Saccharomyces cerevisiae S288C: one gene and its partners. The main gene of each other region encodes a partner of the protein of the gene in region 4 in a complex. Each region holds a gene or a part of one and is shown on either strand. Other genes may lie near its edges. A codon is read from its position in the direction of its gene.

Region 1 (5,399 bases), on a different chromosome or scaffold from region 4:
TCATAATTACTAACAAGTATAGCCAATTCGCCTTCTCGGCATTTGTGTAATCACTTAAGAAAGAGTTCCATTCCTCAAAGAGCTTCCAGCCATTTATCCACTTAGACACTCAACCAAAATTTGCAATTTGTGGTTTAATCGTTACATTAGCTGTATTATCATCTGCCCTGTTCGCCGTCGGTTCTAAATCTTCATACATTAAGAAACTCTTCTTCTACACAATTTTAAGTGTAATTGGCAGCTTGTTTGCTGGCTTGACCACTGTTTTTGCTTCGAATTCTTTCGGTGTCTACGTCTAGTGGCTCTTCGTTGGCCTATAAAGGAATTATCGATGAAATTATATACTATACTTAAGAAGTATTTTGGATGAGAATATTAAAAAGAAAGGTGTCAAGTAAATTTCATTATATAAACGGTTTAAGACATATTAATATGCGATTTTTGGGAAGATAATGACTGATATCACATGGCTTTGTTGTTTGAAGGTGCTTGTTTTATGCTCATAAATTCAACACATCTTCGTCGAAGTTAATAGCTTTGTAATATCTTGGATCTGAAGAGTTGGTTGAACCGAACGCGTTATACTCAAGTAATGTAGAAAGCATAGCTCTAGTGTTTGATATTACATTCTCTAATGCGCATTCGCTATCCTTATGTAAAAATGTTAGTATTGTGTTGTTACTAACTTGAAATAATCTCTCTTGTAAGTATTCGTCACTCAAATATCCTGATATCTCCTTTGGTGCCTCCACAAGTGGATTGGAATATGCTAACAATGCAGAGACATTACTCAATTGTCCACTAAACCTATCCCTCAAAGATTGTGGAATTTTAGTATCGTAGATAAATTCATTAGATAATTCTTGACCCTTCAAAATTAAATTTTCAATTTCGTCATCATCTTTGGATGAACTCTTTTTAATCATCACCAGATAATTCGCTAGTTTTAACTCAAATACCAATTCTAGATTATTTTTTAACAGATCTGGAATTTCGTTATCGATATAATTGATGCATTTGCTAATTTGACCTTTGTTTATCAAGTATCTTAATTCTTGCCTTATCTTTACCATACGTTCTTCTTTCATGATCTGTCTTTCATTGTGCCTGATAACATCTTTACTTTCAGAATGTTGCCCATTGACATTAACCGCATCTTTTTGCAAATCTTTCAAAAACCCCTTTGCAACATCCACCAATCCTTCGTGGATCAAATAATCATTTATCATCACGTTTAATGTATTAGGCAATGAACCGTCATCCACGCTTAAGTTGTTAATATTGTTCACGTCTGGTCTAACTAGCTTTCCATCTATAAACCTATTATCTTCTCCCAAAAGAAACTTCAGATTGTTGTCCTTCTCATCGTTAAGCTTCTTTGTATCCTTATTACCAGCGGCACCATCCTCTTGATCAATATCCATCAAATCTTCATTAACGTTTGTTGATTTATTTTCTTCAGGCCCATTTTCAGTTTCATCTTCCTCACTTTCATCAGAGTCGAATTCTTCAATTGAAACGTCCATTTGGCGTCCACGACAAATATGCTCATACGCCAAACTCTTCCATTTATCTTGATATCCAATAATGTCAAATACAAAATCCTCATTTAACCCAAAATTTGTTTTGATAGAATTCCCAGGTCGTAAGGCCACATATGGGACGAATTCTAGATCATTCAAGTCGGTGAATGCGTTACCTAAATGGATACCATTCTTCGTGAAAAAAATTGAGCCATCGATAAAATTTATGCCACAACCAATAACGTCATCCCTACCAAAAGGCTTAGCATATTCCTTAGATTGTTCTGTAGAATTAGTTATCAAACCGTCAAATCCGCAATAGCCAAATACATTAAGATCAAATCCGTATTTCTGACACTTATTTATGGAACCATCCACGTTAAGAGACATGGCTGAAACGCCCCCTTCATAAATATAATCACGCCTTTGAGTACCTTCCATAGTGAAAGAAGTAGAAGGTACTCTATTGGAACTCATGTTATTACTACCACCTAAGCTACTACTAGAACCGGCCACGCTTGAACGAGAAACACTCTTTTTTGTAGTCGCTTCCATTAATTCATTCTCTACTAACTTGTATCCGATAACAATGTTACTATTTTCAGCACTCTCTGTACTCGTTACACTGAGAACTTTAATCTCGTAATAGAATATAGTTAACTTATTGTCTGGCAATGACTTATTTGCCCAAGTGACTGCAAAGTCCACTTTCCCAGAGTTCTCAAAAGAGGTTCTCAGTCTATTTCTGGTAGAGGCAGAAGAAGCGCTTGATCTTTCATAAGTCATGTATGAGTGATAATCAGGATTAGGTTGTAAATGAGTAATACCATCTTGAGATAGCTGCAAGCTGTTATTTGGTTGAGCTTGCCATCTAGAAGGTAAAAAGTACCCAAGTATTTTGTAAATATCAGGGATCATTGAGTTTTTCTTTTTGCTACCACTGTTGGACAAAACATTTGTTGCCTCATTGTCATTTTTGTCGTTACCAGACGATACTCTAGGAGAAGAAAAGGAAGAACTTGGAGACTGATCAGGGGGGTAGTATTGTAGACCACTGTTCTTGTCAGATGTATCCCACAAATTCCTTGATTCTGTTTCTATATTAATAGCTGATCTAGATCTTTGATATATCCATGGGTCCGCAACCCTTTCGGCACGCTGCTGTGCACTGGACACATCAGCATCAGCTCCTCTACTTCCTTCTTCTCCACCTTCCTCGTGATTGTCAGAGCCATCTCCTTCGTTGTTATCGTCCGTGTCAGTATCCACTTCCCCTTCTAAGCTTTCCAGATCGGATTCATCGTCGTCGTCGTCATCGTCATCGTCATCATCGTCATCATCATCATCGTCATCATCATCGTCATTTCTGTCATTTTCCAGGCTGGTATTAGAGTTAAGCGCCATTTCACGTTCGGATAAAACGGGTTCTAATAGTTCCTGAGCATTTTTCCTCATGTCTGAGGAAGCTTTCATAACTCGCACTGAATTTTTATTTGAATCTTTAACACCAAATCTCAAAGTAAAATCATTAACGTCTGGATAGAAATATTTATAGACTTGAATCAGGTAATCGTCGTTGACAGCTTCAAACGAAATTGTGCCTAGAACACCCAAATTCATCAATTTAGACCAGATTTCTTTCCTTGTTAAAGCAGTTAACTTTGTCCTGCCCATTCCAACGCCAGTGGGATTTTCATCAGCGTTGATTAAGTTAGTGTTCTTCAGTTTGTGAAAGAGTTTTCTATGTTGCAAATATAAAATCCATAAATCATAAGCCACAGGCTGTTGCAGCAAGTAGCTCGGGAACAAACAGTTAATGAATTCGCGGTCTACGTCATCCATATATTCAGACATTTCCTCTTAATTATGCTGAAATTCGACGCTTGGCTTTAACGTACTACTAATATTTCTGCTATAACAGTAACAGTTCTGGTCCAATCCTTTGGCTCTTTCTTTTGGTTGATCGATTCATCAGTTCCCTCCCCTGAAAGGCTCGCGCGTCCTGTAATCTAGCAAAAATAGGCAGGATACAAAATACAGTGGAGTGGTAATATTATATTCTTATATGGCTATATATGTTTATATATAAAGGTAAAGACAAACAATAAAGAACATACATATATATATAGATAGATATTGTGTGTGTGTGTGTGTGTGTGTGTGTGTGTGTGTATAGCAAGCGCATGAATTTCATCACAATGTCATGGTAATGGTTGTGGTGATGGTCGAAGTAGAGGTGTAGGATACGTCTTCTTCGTCTTCTTCTTCCTGTTGTCGTAATAGCTCCTGCTGCCTTTGGAACTCTTCTGCTGCAGCTTTTTCACGCTCTTTTCTTTCACGTTCCTTTCTTTCACGTTCCTGAAATTGCAGGTTGGCTTTCGATCTTAGAATATACAAAAACTCACCACTCTCTTGAGTGAACGATAATATCTTCTTTTGCACTTTTTGCCTAAACGCGTTAACACGGGATAAGTCAGCGGAATGGTGAGCCAGCTTGTCTCTAGATTCTATGATCTGTTTCTTGCCCTTCAAAAACTTCTTCCAGTTAACAGAAGACTTTGCTTTCTCTTCATCAAGCGTAGTGTCATCATCTGCACCCATGTGAGCGTTGATAACATCCACATAAGCCATTCTTTTGGACCATTCATTTACAATGATATCACCCCATTCTTCAAATACCTCGACGTTTTCCTCTCTAATTGCATTAACTTTTTTTTCAATTTCATCAGTGATTTCGCTCAAATCTTTCTCCATAGCATTTGTCAGTTCGTCTAACGTCGAGCGCGTCTCGTTGAAGTACTCACGAACTAACTCTCTCGTTATGTACTGAGAAATCTCAGTACTTCCAGATTTATCGAAGAAAATTTTCTTGCCAGTTTCACTATCAATGCCTTCCACACATTCAATATCGTTAATGGCTAGCGAAATCTTGGAGAAGAACTTCTTAGATTTATCATCTAAAGATTGAAACTTGGCTTTAAAATGGTTGGCCTCCTCAACCAATTTACCATTGATGTATTTGGAAACATCCTTTTCAAATAGCTGTATGACGTCTTGTGTTTTCTGCAATATAGTCTCACTCCACATGTCAAAATCCTCTTGCAACAGAGCCTGTTCATTGACATTGACGTCTGTGGAGCCTTCAACGTCTGTGGAAGCCTCATCGTCGTGCGCATGATTAGCAACAGCGCTAGCCTCTTCCTGGTCCAAAGTAATTGTTTCAACCACTGTTTGAGTACTTGTTGTAGTTAGCTCCTCTTCGTCAGACTCCATAGTACTTACGGTTAAAACCATGTCCTCCGAGGAAGGCTCACGTGTGACAGAACCATGAATGCCATGCGTGTCCTTATTCTTGAACTTTCCCATTAATTTTTCCTCTGTATTACCAACAATAAAGTCGTATTTGGATTTGATGCATCTTGAAGTGATAGTAAAGTAATAATGGCCTATATTTTTATACTTTAAAATTCTTTCCTTCAAATGAGAGCGAAACTCCGCAGTAAAGAATTTGTCTAAGTTAGGTTTCACAAAAGCATTGTATTTTGCGAAGAAAAATCGTCTAGTCTTGACCATTGGGGAGCGGACCAATTGGTAATACTTTCCACAGTTCCATTTCTTACATTGTGAATGGATGACCTTGAATGCAGGCTGTATAGCGACCTTGTTCACTTTTACTGTAGCGTCATCGATGACAGGTTTGACAGCCGTGTCATATTTACGCGCCACTATATCGAAACCGGGACTAACTTTATTTTTGTATAATTCACAATTTCTTGAAAAGTAGGTGTTCCAGACTCTTGGATTGGTATAATGGCAAAGCGTTTGCGTGCGTTCACACGATATGCTCCCACTATTGAATTCGCAACAGTACTGAAG
Region 2 (4,130 bases), 140 kb from region 4:
TCAAAATGATACTCTTCGTTATACGCAAGGCTATGATCTTAATGAGGATACTCCCCAGGCTAAAAAATTGACCGCCGAAGGTTATGGTAACATCATACTGTCCCTTTTCGATGGAGAGCCCTATGATTCATGGCAAATCAAACTTTTAGCCAAAAAAAATGGACTAACTCTGAGCAGATCGAGCAAATTCCAATGGGAAAATTTTCCAGGATATCATCACCGGAGAACGAATAGCGAACAAGATACTACAAAACCTGCGAAAGAACGTGATGCTAGGTTCTACATCTTTAGTAAATATGTCTCGAATAGTTCAAAACATAACCGTAAAAGCAAAAAAGACACAGATTCTGATTCAGACTAAGTACAGAAGGAAGAATGTCGCCATGTTGATGAAAGAACTTTCATTTTCCCTAATTCTTATATAGCGTAAGTATCTGTAAAATAGTTGTGAAAGTTGGACAAATCTTTATATAAAAAAATGCATATAGCTTGAAACTATTTCAGGTTGGGTACATTTTGATAGAATCTGATTCGCAAAATATTTTCATGTCAACTGGATCCATAATTTGACCTGGATTTAAAGAAATTAAGTTTTGCTTTTTCAATGTTTTGGCCAATTTCTTCAATTTTTTACTGTCGTAAACATTTCCATTTGGTAATAGTATTGGATTTTCAAATAATTGAGACTGAATGTGATGAGCAAATGGTAATGCCTGTGTTATTGGTTTGAAAGTCTCACTGCAAACGGGACAATTTTTCCTTTTTAGTGAATGTAGCGTAAAGAGTTGTAAATCTTCAACTTCTTTCTCTGCTGTTGTGGCAGTTTCCGTCTCTTGATTTCCATTTTCATCGTCAGAAGGGTGCAGGCAATCTCTTGTCTTCAAAGACGATATACCTAGTGACAGGTATATCAATAAAGGGTCATTTTGTGATATGCCATACATGGAATAAAAGTCGCTCAAGAATAAATCATTTAATACCGACCATCTTTGATCATCTAATAAATTCAGATATCTTTCGAAATCTCCACTTTGTAAATTTATTAAGGAACTCTTGTCATAGTCTGTTGTATTCACCGCAGGTTTGGAGGTAATTCTAGGTAAAGATTTGTGAAAAAAATGTTGAAATATTCGATCTTTCTTCATTGGTAAACTTTGAGACTTAATCTCTTCAGTATCGAATCCAGAGCTGGTAGAAGAAGTTGGCTTTTGATCATTACAGTATTTGATAAAAATCAGAAGTCCAGATGCTAATTTTAAATCGGTGAAGTTGCTCTTAACGAATGGTAAAAGGAATCTTTGAAAACATACTATAGCGTCGGTATAGTTATCCACCTTTAGTAGTTCAATATATTCTTGCAATCTTGCTTGAAACTCTAATATAGAGGACTTTTTGGTCAGTGTCTTTTTGTTCTCGTTTATCCATGAAATTAGGGGTAAGAGATTACGCTCATGTAGTAACGAAGTCGAAATTCTATTAGCCTCCAAGAGGACATCATAATCAATGAGATCATCCAGTTGGCTCTGTTTCAAAAACACTACGCCAGAGTTCCAATGATCCTTTGTCTCCGAGTTGTATTTAATCGGGTTATTCCTCGTCAGATAATCACCAATTAAAATGTTTGTATAACTCTGATACCACTGTATCAATTTAGTCCTGGTACCCTCATTATTTCCATTGTGCGATGTTCCTGAATTTTGTGACTTGATGTCCTTCAGTTCGTGGAAAAACTCCAGCCTTTTTTTAATTCTGTTCAAAATCTGACAGTAGGACTTGATTTGCGTATTTAAAAATCTTTCTATATGGTCAACTTTCCTAATCATTTCAGTTATTTTTGCTAGTGCCAACTCGTCGTGCTCAACGTCATTATGTTCAAATATTTGATTTAATGCGGCCGTGTGTTCATGTAGTGATTTGGTTTCCTTATTAATTACCGCTTGAGTATGCTTGATACGTTTGGACAGTAGTTCATAAGGAATATGAAATAATTGTTGATTTAATTTCAAATGGAAATCCACATCAGGCTCATTAAATATTGATTTCTCTGCCATGGCTTACCTACTTTCCTATAATTTATAATCATTTTCTCTGTTTTATGTATGAAATTGTAGATTTAACCACCCCCTTCTCTTCGCCTTTGCAAAAAGTGAATATCTCAAATTGCACTAGAGTTTCATTTGCAGCGATAAGTGGATAACAAAAAGCTGAAAAGAGAGAGAAAGAGAGAGTGCCAGGGAAATGGATAGACCAAGAACATTACGCACATATAGAGGACTCATAAGAGCCATTCTGAAATATGAAAGGCCAAGCAAGATAGTCAATTGGGGCAATCTACGAAAGGCAATGATAACAAAGTTGGAATATGCTAAGAAACAAAATCAGAGAGACTCGCATGAGAACATCAACAGACAGTTAGAGAAATGGAAAAAACTAGATCCGGTAAGCGACAGATCTTTGAATTTGTTTATAGCCGACTCTAAGTCATTACGTTCCATATTACAAAACGATATAAAGTGGGAGAAAAAGGTGGCCCAGGGACAAAACGTTGACGAGATATTCGAACACGCTTTGGACATCATCAAGTTCTTGGACAACCAAAGAGAATACGAGGAGCTGGTCGACAGATACAATCCTGGCAACAAGTTGACACAGGATGAGAAAGTGAAAAGAACTGCAAACGTGGTTGGGCTGGACGTTCCGACATAGTATCTAATCAATTTATAATATCAGAGTTTTGTAAATAAGTATATATATATATTTGATGTAAATATCTAGGAAATACACTTGTGTATACTTCTCGCTTTCCTTTTATTTTTTTTTTTGTCTACAAACTCTGTAAAACTTCTTGTCTTATTTGATAGGCATCCCAGAATGAAGTATAGGACCAGGTAAGGTGTTGGGCACCCTGCATAAACCCTGTGTATTTGTTAAATTGTTCACTTAGTTCCCCGTCTGTTCCCACGTGAGCTTTCAGCTTGACCAAGAATGAATCAGCTAGTTGGAAGATTTTTTGTATGGTTTGATTGAAGGCAGGTGTATTGAACTCCAAAATCAAATAGCCTTCGTCATTTCCCAAAGTCGTGAGGTTGGAGAATACCAGCTCGCTCCAAAATGCGTTCGAACAATCGTTGTTCATTGGGACAACCAAGTCATGCTGCTCAGAGATGTGTCTGTAAATGAGCTGATAAAGCGTTGTTGAAGCGGTACACGTGGCCAGGACCCAGGGATTTCCCTCGCCAAAGCCATATCCATCATATACGTCCTCAGGATACCGGCCCAGGGCAATACCCGTTGCATTTTTGGAGCTATCGTTGATGGGGTATATCGAACGCATGTGCAACATCAAATGGTGCAACGTGTTCAGGACGGCAGGGTCATTGATATCGAACGGAAGATGGGAAGCAGATGGCGCATCGTGGACGGTGTTCGCAGCTAATAAAGTGGATATGTCCAGTCCGGATCTCAATGTGTCGGCAATCATGGGTGTCCCAACAATATAATTGTACTTGCCGTTGATAAACCCATTCGCAGGGTCCACTAAAAACTTGGAGATGTCCCGGCGTGTCTGACGCAATTCTTCAACAAAGGGAGACGACCGTTCTGAGGCGTTAAAATACGACAGCGACTTGTCCACTGCAGACAGTTGTACCAGTAAAGTAAAGAAATGCATGCCATTGACTTCCTCCCATAGATCAAATCCGGAAGAATTCCAGTGGTCAATAATGAACCTCAGGTCCCAACGTACAATATCATCAAAGATATCTGCGGTGGACTGGAATGGGTACTTGGCCCCCAGATCAGTGCCAGATTGCTTGATGTAGTCGATGATTTTTAAGATGGCAATGCTTCGAAGAGCAGGCCCATCGTTTTGAGGACGACCCCAATCTTCCGTGAAAGCCGTGTTGTCGACGTTCCACTTAGGGTCTCCCAAAGCCACTGTATCGTTAGTGTAACCAATGCCAGCGCCCAATGTGTTGTTGCTTCTTTGCAAGTGGAATGAAACGTTCAGGTACTGCAATAACGTCTCTATTGCCGGGCCCGCAGAATGAGAGACAATACTGTTTATCGTCAACGCGCTGTCCCTTATCCATTGGTAGAAGTAGTCTGGATGCGTTTGCGATGGTGACGCA
Region 3 (4,791 bases), on a different chromosome or scaffold from region 4:
AGTTCAGTGCACTCTTTGTAAGAGTAAGAAACACTCAAAAGAAAGATGTCCTAGTATATGGAGAGCATATATTTTAGTAGATGATAATGAAAAGGCTAAGCCCAAGGTCCTTCCCTTTCATACTATATACTGTTATAACTGCGGTGGAAAGGGGCACTTTGGTGATGATTGCAAGGAAAAACGATCATCTAGAGTACCTAACGAGGATGGAAGTGCGTTCACTGGTTCTAATTTGTCAGTTGAGCTAAAACAGGAATATTACCGTCACATGAACAGAAATTCGGACGAAAATGAAGACTATCAATTTAGTGAGTCCATATACGATGAGGATCCACTACCGAGACCTTCCCATAAAAGACATTCCCAAAACGATCACTCTCATAGTGGCAGAAATAAACGTAGAGCATCGAACTTCCATCCTCCTCCTTATCAAAAGTCTAATGTCATTCAACCAACTATAAGGGGCGAGACGCTGTCACTCAATAATAATATTAGTAAAAATTCACGGTATCAAAATACAAAAGTAAACGTCTCGTCGATATCGGAGAATATGTATGGCTCCAGATATAACCCTTCTACTTATGTTGATAATAACAGCATTTCCAACTCTTCCAATTACAGAAACTACAATTCTTATCAACCATATAGGAGTGGTACCTTGGGGAAAAGAAGATAACTTTAAATAGGAAGCCCTTTAACAAGCTGTTCTTGGTTACATTATATTTTCTTAATGAAAGATTAAAGACAATACCTAATTCGACCATTAATCAAAATAGCATGTAAATTTCTTACATCTTCTTGTTGTGAAAAAAAAAGGCCTTCGTGCAATCACAGGTAATAATAATAACATATACATACATATACGTAAATACGTCTTATAACTCCTGCTACCTCATACGCTATTTTCTATTATGGCTAACATCTATGCAACTCAATTTAGTCTCTTTTTACCTTTTTCACAATGAATGTATAAAGGTCCTTTTCATCGTAATCTAACCTTCTTTTTTGTGCATTTAAACCGTCATAATCGATTAGAGCAAGTTTGTCGACAAACCGATCTTTTCTATTTAGCTTTAGTGAATCGCACAGTTTTATTCTTCCTAACCTGCAGTTTTTGAAAAATTCGCCTTTAAGAACAGTTATCTCTCCTGCCATTGATGTTACCACCAAGTGAAACGTAAGGGCGCAAACATTGTCTGTGCCTACGTCTATATCATTAATTATAACAATTGTATCATTAATCAATCCGAAATCATGGGGTATTATCCGAATAGTATCCTTGGAATTCCTTAACAAATTTTTGGTATTTTTTATTTCAAATCTATTTATCAACAAAACTCCATGTGTGTCCAATATAAAGCATAAAGAATCATCCAGCATAAATAATTTCTTGAATGAACATAAATTTCCCAATGCCTGCTTGAATTGAGCTGTCTCATCATCTATCACTTGGCCATCCACCTTCATTTGACTTTCTGCCCACTCTTCTTCATTAGTTCCATTTTCAGAGCCATTTTTGTTCGATAATGAATCGATTTTAATTATTGGTTCATCATAGTACCGAGGTCGGAATGCACTCAACGTGACGAAATGATCGATGCACACAATGTCCATCTTTTTGTAATTATCTGTTAGAAAAGAAGTCATTGTTTCATCACTTTCATCTGTAGTGTTATCATCTTCATTCACCCCATCATTTCCATTTCTATGAGAAATCTTTTCAACAATTTCAAAATCTACCATAAATGTATTCCTTCTTAATCCTCGGATAAAAGAATCTAATTCCCACTTCGTTGAACAGGGTACATCCATTCTTTCTCTAAAAGCGTCTCTAGTTAAGGCTTGAAAAGATTCTCTCCTTCTTCGACTCAGCGGTCTCGGTTCGCTGCTAGCAGTACTGAATGAAGAATTTCGGCGACTACTTCCCAGCATATCTTGAGTGTGGAATAACTCATATATGTCATCTTTAGCGTGACCTTGACGCTGTTTCCAGACGATTCCTGAATCCAGCATTCCTGTTCCAGAATATTTTACAATATCATCCCAAATGGTTGAATTTATAATATCCGTATCGAATGTAAACTTGTTACTAATCCAGCTGAACAAAGAACCAAATCCATTTTGTTGCGCTACGTTGTCCCACGAAAGTATCTCACCGCATGTATCTCCCTGTATACTGTTCTTTAGGCTGATAAAGGTGCTTAAAAATGTAACATAAGTCAATGGTAAAATTATTTTCCTTATAAATAGTGGTGATCGTGGCGATACTGTCATGAAACAAAACCGGTCTAATGGATTTATATGGAATGTGGAAATACCTCGTTCTATATGTAAATACATCGAAGGCCTATATATGGGCAGGCCTTGATACATATTGCAAAACGAAGATACCACGGGTGACGATCTTAAATGGGATGGTTCTATAGGCAAAAGGAAGTAGCAGATATGCTTAGAGCATGACCTTCCAGTGTACCGCGTACTACCTTCAAATAATTTTTCTTCTTCTGAAGAATGTGTTGTATTATTATCGTGATGTACTTTGAAAAAGCAATCTGGAAACATGGGGTTGTACATGTTCTTATACTGAATGTAATCAGTGGGAAGGTTCATTACAAAGACATATATTCGACCGGAGCACATACAACAATATAATAAACCTTGACTATATTCAAGACCAGCGATCATATAGTCACTAAAAAAATTGGATTCGAAATCTTCCGGAGTACATCTAAGGATATAAGAGGGCGCTAATCGCAGGCCATTTTTTATCTTGTATTGATAGTTGCTTATGATTTCAATGAATCCGTTGGATTTAGCCAGCACCATGTAATCACATGAGTCCAAAATATGCGTTGCGTCTGGAGATATTGACGTGTCTCTACCATTAGGCCTTAAATAACAAAACGCTTGTATATTTGCATTCACATCTACTTTTGTACAACCTCTTTCTGATGGGACCAGTGCTAATCGATCGTTTTTAAATTCAAATAACCTATAACCAGACGGTTTACCCTTAGTATTGCAGGGAGTAGAAACAGCAAATTGAATCCTGCCAGTAGCCATCGATAACAAAATGTTCAGATTATGTGGAAAGACGCTTTCTGCGTGTATTTAACAACTCAAAGTAAAACCTATCTTAACCTGGTTTTGTTCTATTAGATGCCATTCAACTATGGGGAAGGTATATTTGGATGTTTGTTAGCAATTTTCAGGAAGGCAAGTACTTAATACCGATCAGCTTACTATTGTTTTTGACCTTAGAGCTCTTTTCAACAAAGCTTCGCATTGTGAAAAGCAGACCCAAAACGGCAACTGAGAAAATACGGCACTGTGGAAATAAGTCATGCATCAATCATCAGCTGTAAAAAACCTTTAGAAAAGACATTATACAGATTCTTAGATAGGTATTGATGTTTGGTATTACTATTTTTTGGAGAAATGAGTAAGAATGTTGGTAAGCTAGTGAAAATATGGAATGAATCAGAAGTTTTAGTTGATAGAAAATCGAAATTTCAAGCAAGATGTTGCCCATTACAAAATCAAAAGGATATACCCTCCATACTCCAAGAACTAACGCAAAACAACAAAAGCGTCTCCAAGGCATCCCACATGCACATGTATGCCTGGAGAACGGCCGAGGTATCAAATAATTTGCACTTACAACAAGAGCAGAAAAAGAAGGGCAATAAAGCAAATAAGAGTAATAATAGTCATGTTAACAAGTCAAGGAACATAACGGTGCAGCCAAAGAACATTGAGCAAGGATGTGCTGACTGTGGCGAAGCTGGTGCTGGACAGCGTTTATTGACCTTACTTGAAAGAGCAAACATATTCAACGTCTTGGTAATAGTGACCAGATGGTATGGTGGCACGCCTTTGGGCTCATCAAGATTCAGACACATTTCAACATGTGCAGTGGAAACCTTAAAGAAGGGTGGATTTCTTCCTTAAATATCACCCTTACCATATAATATACACAATTGTAGAATATAATATTGATAAATATATACATATGTAGATAACTATAAAACTTGGCATTTTATTTTCAAATGTATTTGTAAGGGTTTAAAATTCCATTAGGATCATAATGAACCTTCAAATCCTTCATCATCTTGACCTCTTCCGGGCTCTTAGAATAGCCAATGTAATTTTTCTTTTGGAAACCTAGCCCATGTTCGGCACTAACGGAACCATGTTTTGAGGAAACAAACTCGTAGACAAATGGTTCCAAAGTCTTTTCAATGTTCTTGTTGTACTCTCTAACTGCAACATTTAAGTGTAGATTACCATCACCCACGTGACCGTATCCAATGGCGCCCACCACTGGTTTGGGCGAATCACCCACTAATTCAGCTTCAGAAAGTCTTGCATTAGTGGCTTCAACCAAAGAATATAGGTCCTTTAGTGGTAAAGAAACATCGTATTTGTAAACACCACCATTAGCTTGACTTGCCTCTGGAATCATTTCTCTCCACTTCCACAAGTTTTGGAGTTCGGTTTCATCTTGTGCCACTACACCATCCGTTACTATGCCCTCTTCCATGACGTTTTCTAAAAATGTTTCAAGTTTGGAATCATCGTGATCTTTGTTTGACCCTGACGTTTCGATAAGAATATAAAATGGATGCTCATCCTCCAAAGGGAAGGCAGCATCCTTCAATTGGCTCTTGGCCAATACTTGAGATTTAGCATCCATAAATTCAAAAGCGGATAAAATCTCAGATAATTCTTGCCTGGCTCTGACGAAGACTTTTTGAACGTCTTCAAAACTTTCAACAGACAAGTAAGATA
Region 4 (5,616 bases):
TCTGCTATGACCTTGGGCGCATTCAATAGCGAGGTTCCTGAGTCCAACAAAACTGGATACTTGGTCGTCGTAAACGTTTCATGTTCACAACTACTTTTGTTTTGGGCACCTAATCCTTGTATAGTCATTGCTAAAGTTGCAGGAGCGTCGACTATTGTGGGATATTCATTTACCATAGGGAAAGTGAACAAATCACCAGAAAACTTTGATTCATCAATGGCACCAAAAACAATCGAACCAGTACCTGAATCAGGTGAGTTTAAGAACAGCGAATACGCGACCACATCGATTATTTTTTCACTTTTTAAAATCTGAGGAAAATTAGGATAATATTCATTAGGAGCACCTTCATAGCCCTTAACGGACTCTCTTCTAGGAAACCCAATTCCAAGAACACCACTAACGGGTGTCGTAGCATACTTGGCAACTCCGAACTGGATATTGGGGATGTCAATTCCATTAATTGATACAGTTTCCGTCCCCCAACTACCGTCAGCAAATGTTCCGTCAGCATATGTGATGTAAAACCTACCATTTTCCAGATATTGGTAGGTGGAAGATCTATGCTCATTATAAGTACTCATAGACCTGCAATCAATTGAAGGCTTAACTTCTTCGCCATTATAAGTTGCGTTTGAATAGGATGACGTATTTGAATTTGGTAAGCAGAAGGGATTGCTAGAATCCATAACCCAAAAATCGGCAGATCCGGTATCAAACAACACTGTCAGACTTTGGGACGGTGTACCTATATCTAAGGTTGTTGCGTAATACATCTCCTCTTCGTGTTGTAAAAGGAATTCTAAGTGACCAGTGCCATCGTTTGTTAAAGCAGTAATGGTGTTAATAATCGCGAAACTCGCCAAAATAAGTTTCAAACAAAGATGATTAATTGCAGACATTATATGACCCTTCTAGACACTCTTTTTATTTTGGTATGATTTTAGGCGATACGAACCACTAGAATTAAATCACGCGAAGATCATTAAAGAATTCATCATGACAAGGCTCGACGTGCTTTCTCTTCACTTTTATACTGTTATCAAAAAACACACACATTCAATAACTATAATGTGGTGTGTTTCAGAATAGCTGGCTGTGTATACATGTTATTGTCGCTATTATGTGACACTCGCCATGTAATTTCCTTTTACGGTAATTACATGCCATGTTTCAGCATGATGTCGGAGGTAGAAAAACAGGGACAACGCATCTCTAATATAATAAATGCAACAAATGTGTACCGTACCGGAATGAGTGCAGCCTATGAATTCGGCAAGAGCCGTTATCTATAAACTAAAAATACAAACTTATTTAAGAGAGTCCAAACTTTTTAACATAGCCTGAATTTCCTTTATGACGCCTTTCCTTTTTTCCTTCAACGGCCTTCTTAAGGACTCATCCACGTTAATCAAATCGATACTGTCTAACTCAATCAGCAACTTCAAAAGCATTTCGTTGCAATAGTTACGCTCGTAGATGTCCTTTTCATCTTCCACATCAAATCTGTTTATTAGATCCTTGCTACGACCTTCCAACTCGTTGCCGTATCTCAACGACACATTGTCAATTTGTTCTTCTAGAGTCAGAGGAACCGGCGCTTTTTCAAACTGATTCTTACCTTTCTTGTTCTTTTTAGAAGCCCTCTTTTTACTGCTTTTTCCCTTGCTGCCATTGGGTCTTCTGATTGTAACCAAAAATACAACAGCAATCACGGCCAAGAGGACGTACGTCGAGGTACTTGTTTTGCTCAGCTTGCTCTTCCAATGTTCCATTGCGTTGTGCGACATTACGGAAACGTACAATTGCCCTTCTGGTGCTATTTTTTCACCAACAAACAGGATTGAAACCAGCACTACAGAGCTGATTCCATCTTTTTTTCTACTGGTTATGTCAGTTCGCGATATTTTTTTTCAATATCGACCAAATGATAGTAAAGGCAAATTGAATTAGATGAGCACAAGTCTTCCATTTAAAAACCCCTCTAGCTATGGCTCTCCTTCAAGTCCATATGCGCTCTTGAAAAAGCATGCTTGCCGATTGAATTGCAGGTAGCATAAATGGTTTTGCTTGTGTATGAAGCTTTTGACCTTATATTCGTCATCCGTTATAAGTGATTAGACTGAAGGGGCGCGAACTAAACTAATTAGATTATAATACGTTTTATAGGGATATCACTACAAACTGCGGCCTAAGAGGATGATCTTCATGGCGGAAACTTGCAGTTTTCCTGTATCATTGCCCTCGTGTTAGATTGGTGATATATTACAGTTACACTATGACGGTGGCTTATTCCCTAGAGAATCTCAAAAAGATTAGTAATTCCCTGGTGGGAGACCAGTTGGCTAAGGTAGATTACTTTTTGGCTCCAAAGTGCCAGATTTTTCAATGTTTGTTGTCCATTGAGCAAAGTGACGGTGTAGAGTTAAAAAATGCGAAATTAGATCTGCTATATACCCTTTTACATCTAGAACCGCAACAAAGGGATATAGTAGGCACATATTACTTTGATATTGTGTCCGCAATCTATAAGTCCATGAGTTTGGCAAGCAGTTTTACTAAAAATAATTCTTCGACAAACTATAAGTACATAAAGCTTCTAAATTTGTGTGCAGGAGTTTATCCAAATTGCGGATTCCCAGACTTGCAATACCTCCAGAACGGGTTCATCCAGTTAGTCAACCATAAATTTTTGAGGAGCAAATGTAAAATTGATGAGGTGGTCACGATTATTGAATTATTGAAGTTGTTTTTACTTGTGGACGAGAAAAATTGCAGCGACTTCAACAAGAGCAAGTTTATGGAGGAAGAGAGAGAAGTGACAGAAACTTCACACTACCAAGATTTTAAAATGGCAGAATCCCTTGAACACATAATAGTTAAAATATCATCGAAGTACTTGGACCAAATAAGCCTCAAGTATATAGTGAGGCTAAAAGTATCCAGGCCAGCGTCACCATCCAGCGTCAAGAACGATCCGTTTGACAATAAAGGGGTCGACTGCACCCGTGCCATACCTAAAAAAATCAATATCTCAAACATGTATGATTCTAGTTTACTCTCATTGGCACTCCTTCTATATCTAAGATATCATTATATGATACCGGGTGATAGGAAACTGCGGAATGATGCGACGTTCAAGATGTTCGTTCTGGGTCTTTTGAAGAGTAATGACGTTAACATTAGGTGCGTGGCCCTGAAGTTTTTGTTACAACCGTACTTTACAGAGGATAAGAAATGGGAAGATACGCGTACACTCGAGAAAATACTACCCTATTTAGTTAAGTCATTTAATTATGACCCGTTGCCTTGGTGGTTTGATCCATTCGATATGCTGGATTCATTGATTGTGTTGTATAATGAAATTACTCCAATGAATAATCCTGTGCTCACCACGCTAGCTCATACAAACGTTATATTTTGCATTCTATCCCGTTTTGCGCAGTGTCTTTCTCTACCACAACACAATGAAGCTACTTTGAAAACAACTACAAAATTCATTAAAATATGTGCGTCATTTGCAGCATCGGACGAAAAATACCGTCTTTTACTGTTGAATGACACATTGTTGTTGAATCATTTAGAATACGGGTTGGAATCCCACATTACTTTGATACAGGATTTTATATCTTTGAAAGATGAGATAAAGGAAACAACTACGGAAAGTCATTCTATGTGTTTACCCCCAATATATGATCACGATTTCGTGGCAGCTTGGTTACTATTGTTGAAATCATTCTCGAGAAGTGTTTCAGCGCTTAGGACGACGTTGAAGAGAAATAAAATTGCACAGCTGCTTTTACAGATACTAAGTAAAACATATACGTTGACCAAGGAATGCTATTTTGCTGGACAAGATTTTATGAAACCGGAAATTATGATTATGGGCATTACTCTGGGTAGTATTTGTAACTTCGTGGTGGAGTTCTCTAATTTACAGTCATTTATGCTGAGAAACGGTATAATCGATATAATTGAAAAGATGTTAACAGATCCATTGTTTAACTCAAAAAAAGCCTGGGACGATAATGAAGATGAAAGAAGGATTGCATTGCAAGGCATACCTGTGCATGAAGTGAAGGCAAACTCTTTATGGGTACTAAGGCATCTAATGTACAATTGCCAGAATGAAGAGAAGTTTCAGCTTTTGGCCAAAATCCCGATGAATTTAATTTTGGATTTTATTAATGATCCATGTTGGGCAGTACAAGCCCAATGTTTTCAGTTGCTCAGAAATTTGACTTGTAATTCAAGGAAAATTGTAAATATTCTTTTGGAAAAATTTAAAGATGTAGAATACAAGATCGATCCTCAAACAGGTAATAAAATTAGCATCGGCTCAACGTATCTTTTCGAATTTCTTGCAAAGAAGATGAGGCTTTTAAATCCATTAGACACTCAACAAAAGAAAGCAATGGAAGGCATCCTATATATTATCGTGAATCTAGCGGCAGTCAATGAGAATAAAAAGCAGCTAGTCATCGAACAAGACGAAATATTGAACATTATGAGTGAAATATTGGTAGAAACAACGACTGATAGTTCAAGTAATGGTAATGACAGCAATCTGAAATTGGCATGCCTCTGGGTACTCAATAACTTACTTTGGAATTCATCAGTTTCACATTATACCCAATATGCAATTGAAAATGGTCTGGAACCAGGGCATTCACCAAGTGATTCAGAAAACCCTCAATCTACGGTGACAATCGGGTATAATGAATCAGTGGCTGGTGGATATTCTAGGGGGAAATACTACGATGAGCCAGATGGCGATGATAGCAGTAGCAATGCGAATGATGATGAAGATGACGATAATGATGAGGGTGATGATGAAGGCGATGAGTTCGTTCGCACCCCGGCTGCAAAAGGTAGTACATCAAATGTACAAGTAACACGTGCCACGGTGGAAAGATGTAGAAAACTCGTGGAGGTAGGATTATACGATCTGGTTAGAAAAAATATTACAGACGAATCATTATCTGTCAGGGAAAAGGCCAGAACGTTACTATATCACATGGACCTGCTTTTGAAAGTTAAATGAATGCACAGAACTCGTAGTATTTCCTACAATTAATTTATGCTATAGTTTTTTAAATAGTATTTTCGCAGAAGAATCCATAACTGCAAGCTTACGTTTAACTAAAATTTCTGTGATAGGAAGTAGCTGGCTGAATTTATTCTCATGTCAAAGAAAAAAAAGTATGCATAGAAATATCACTTTATAAGGAACGTTTCGGATTAAATTATATAATATTTAAGAAAATTGATAAAATAATATGACAGAAGGAAGAAACCAAAATTAAAAAGATTAATCTTGGGTCTTTTGAGAACCACGTAGTAAACCGGTTCTTCTGGCAGCAATCAAACCAGCCTTTTGACCAGAAACGGCACCTCTAGAGATAGTAGAAGCCTTACCAATATGTTGATGGTTACCACCACCGTGAGGGTGATCAACTGGATTCATGGCAACACCACGGGTCTTTGGCCAAGAGTTTCTCTTCAATCTGTACTTGTGGAAAGCACGACCAGCCTTCAACAATGGTTTGTCAACTCTACCACCACCGGCAATGACACCGATGACACCTCTGGCGTCAGAAGAGATAACCTTCTTGG

The links.
Region 1: the proteins of VID28 (region 4) and VID30 are in contact, whole or in part, in a cryo-EM structure (PDB 7NS3), measured with the Saccharomyces cerevisiae proteins. Residues at the interface, in NP_012247.3 of Saccharomyces cerevisiae: Glu197 (codon at 2,867), His198 (codon at 2,870), Val201 (codon at 2,879), Ser204 (codon at 2,888), Ser205 (codon at 2,891), Leu208 (codon at 2,900), Asp209 (codon at 2,903), Ile211 (codon at 2,909), Leu213 (codon at 2,915), Lys214 (codon at 2,918), Tyr215 (codon at 2,921), Ile216 (codon at 2,924), Val217 (codon at 2,927), Arg218 (codon at 2,930), Leu219 (codon at 2,933), Pro234 (codon at 2,978), Phe235 (codon at 2,981), Asp236 (codon at 2,984), Asn237 (codon at 2,987), Lys238 (codon at 2,990), Gly239 (codon at 2,993), Arg244 (codon at 3,008), Ala245 (codon at 3,011), Lys248 (codon at 3,020), Lys249 (codon at 3,023), Arg279 (codon at 3,113), Lys280 (codon at 3,116), Leu281 (codon at 3,119), Asp284 (codon at 3,128), Phe287 (codon at 3,137); in NP_011287.1 of Saccharomyces cerevisiae: Asn14 (codon at 3,338), Cys15 (codon at 3,335), Ser19 (codon at 3,323), Lys72 (codon at 3,164), Trp75 (codon at 3,155), Ile98 (codon at 3,086), Gln99 (codon at 3,083), Val100 (codon at 3,080), Tyr101 (codon at 3,077), Lys102 (codon at 3,074), Tyr103 (codon at 3,071), Phe104 (codon at 3,068), Tyr105 (codon at 3,065), Pro106 (codon at 3,062), Val108 (codon at 3,056), Phe111 (codon at 3,047), Thr112 (codon at 3,044), Arg114 (codon at 3,038), Phe115 (codon at 3,035), Gly116 (codon at 3,032), Val117 (codon at 3,029), Tyr529 (codon at 1,793), Ala530 (codon at 1,790), Lys531 (codon at 1,787), Asp536 (codon at 1,772), Val538 (codon at 1,766), Lys554 (codon at 1,718), Asn555 (codon at 1,715), Ile557 (codon at 1,709), Leu559 (codon at 1,703).
Region 2: the proteins of VID28 (region 4) and FYV10 are in contact, whole or in part, in a cryo-EM structure (PDB 7NS3), measured with the Saccharomyces cerevisiae proteins. Residues at the interface, in NP_012247.3 of Saccharomyces cerevisiae: Asp70 (codon at 2,486), Ile71 (codon at 2,489), Val72 (codon at 2,492), Gly73 (codon at 2,495), Thr74 (codon at 2,498), Tyr75 (codon at 2,501), Phe77 (codon at 2,507), Asp78 (codon at 2,510), Leu445 (codon at 3,611), Asp448 (codon at 3,620), Phe449 (codon at 3,623), Ile456 (codon at 3,644), Thr459 (codon at 3,653), Thr460 (codon at 3,656), Ser463 (codon at 3,665), His464 (codon at 3,668), Leu468 (codon at 3,680), Pro469 (codon at 3,683), Pro470 (codon at 3,686), Ile471 (codon at 3,689), Tyr472 (codon at 3,692), Phe528 (codon at 3,860); in NP_012169.1 of Saccharomyces cerevisiae: Lys305 (codon at 1,139), Ile308 (codon at 1,130), Phe309 (codon at 1,127), His311 (codon at 1,121), Phe312 (codon at 1,118), Phe313 (codon at 1,115), His314 (codon at 1,112), Lys315 (codon at 1,109), Leu317 (codon at 1,103), Pro318 (codon at 1,100), Arg319 (codon at 1,097), Ile320 (codon at 1,094), Thr321 (codon at 1,091), Ser322 (codon at 1,088).
Region 3: the proteins of VID28 (region 4) and GID12 are in contact, whole or in part, in a cryo-EM structure (PDB 7WUG), measured with the Saccharomyces cerevisiae proteins. Residues at the interface, in NP_012247.3 of Saccharomyces cerevisiae: Gln786 (codon at 4,634), Tyr787 (codon at 4,637), Ala788 (codon at 4,640), Gly854 (codon at 4,838), Glu856 (codon at 4,844), Phe857 (codon at 4,847), Val858 (codon at 4,850), Arg859 (codon at 4,853), Thr860 (codon at 4,856), Ala863 (codon at 4,865); in NP_010105.1 of Saccharomyces cerevisiae: Arg24 (codon at 2,994), Phe26 (codon at 2,988), Arg32 (codon at 2,970), Leu33 (codon at 2,967), Leu35 (codon at 2,961), Glu640 (codon at 1,146), Ile641 (codon at 1,143), Lys658 (codon at 1,092), Leu659 (codon at 1,089), Cys660 (codon at 1,086), Asp661 (codon at 1,083), Ser662 (codon at 1,080), Leu663 (codon at 1,077), Lys664 (codon at 1,074), Leu665 (codon at 1,071), Asn666 (codon at 1,068), Arg667 (codon at 1,065), Arg670 (codon at 1,056).

Annotation. Positions count from the first base shown.
Region 1 is NC_001139.9:67,649-73,047, reverse strand, and holds VID30 (glucose-induced degradation complex subunit VID30), read right to left. Parts: upstream 3,378-5,399; coding exon 501-3,377; downstream 1-500. Other genes in the region: OST5 (dolichyl-diphosphooligosaccharide--protein glycotransferase subunit), read left to right, coding at 60-299; SHE10 (She10p), read right to left, coding at 3,717-5,399.
Region 2 is NC_001141.2:178,348-182,477, reverse strand, and holds FYV10 (glucose-induced degradation complex subunit FYV10), read right to left. Parts: upstream 2,052-4,130; coding exon 501-2,051; downstream 1-500. Other genes in the region: BMT5 (25S rRNA (uracil2634-N3)-methyltransferase), read left to right, coding at 1-361; FMC1 (Fmc1p), read left to right, coding at 2,239-2,706; SGA1 (glucan 1,4-alpha-glucosidase), read right to left, coding at 2,825-4,130. UniProt on the Saccharomyces cerevisiae protein: Component of the GID E3 ligase complex recruiting N termini and catalyzing ubiquitination of proteins targeted for degradation.
Region 3 is NC_001136.10:140,369-145,159, reverse strand, and holds GID12 (Gid12p), read right to left. Parts: upstream 3,064-4,791; coding exon 937-3,063; downstream 1-936. Other genes in the region: AIR2 (TRAMP complex RNA-binding subunit), read left to right, coding at 1-676; YDL177C (uncharacterized protein), read left to right, coding at 3,439-3,951; DLD2 (D-lactate dehydrogenase), read right to left, coding at 4,046-4,791. UniProt on the Saccharomyces cerevisiae protein: Regulator of the GID E3 ligase complex. Modulates both assembly of the substrate receptor GID4 into the GID E3 ligase complex and its activity toward its substrates.
Region 4 is NC_001141.2:317,628-323,243, reverse strand, and holds VID28 (glucose-induced degradation complex subunit VID28), read left to right. Parts: upstream 1-2,278; coding exon 2,279-5,044; downstream 5,045-5,616. Other genes in the region: aspartyl protease BAR1, read right to left, coding at 1-902; SNL1 (Snl1p), read right to left, coding at 1,311-1,790; 60S ribosomal protein uL2 RPL2B, read right to left, coding at 5,312-5,616. UniProt on the Saccharomyces cerevisiae protein: Component of the GID E3 ligase complex recruiting N termini and catalyzing ubiquitination of proteins targeted for degradation.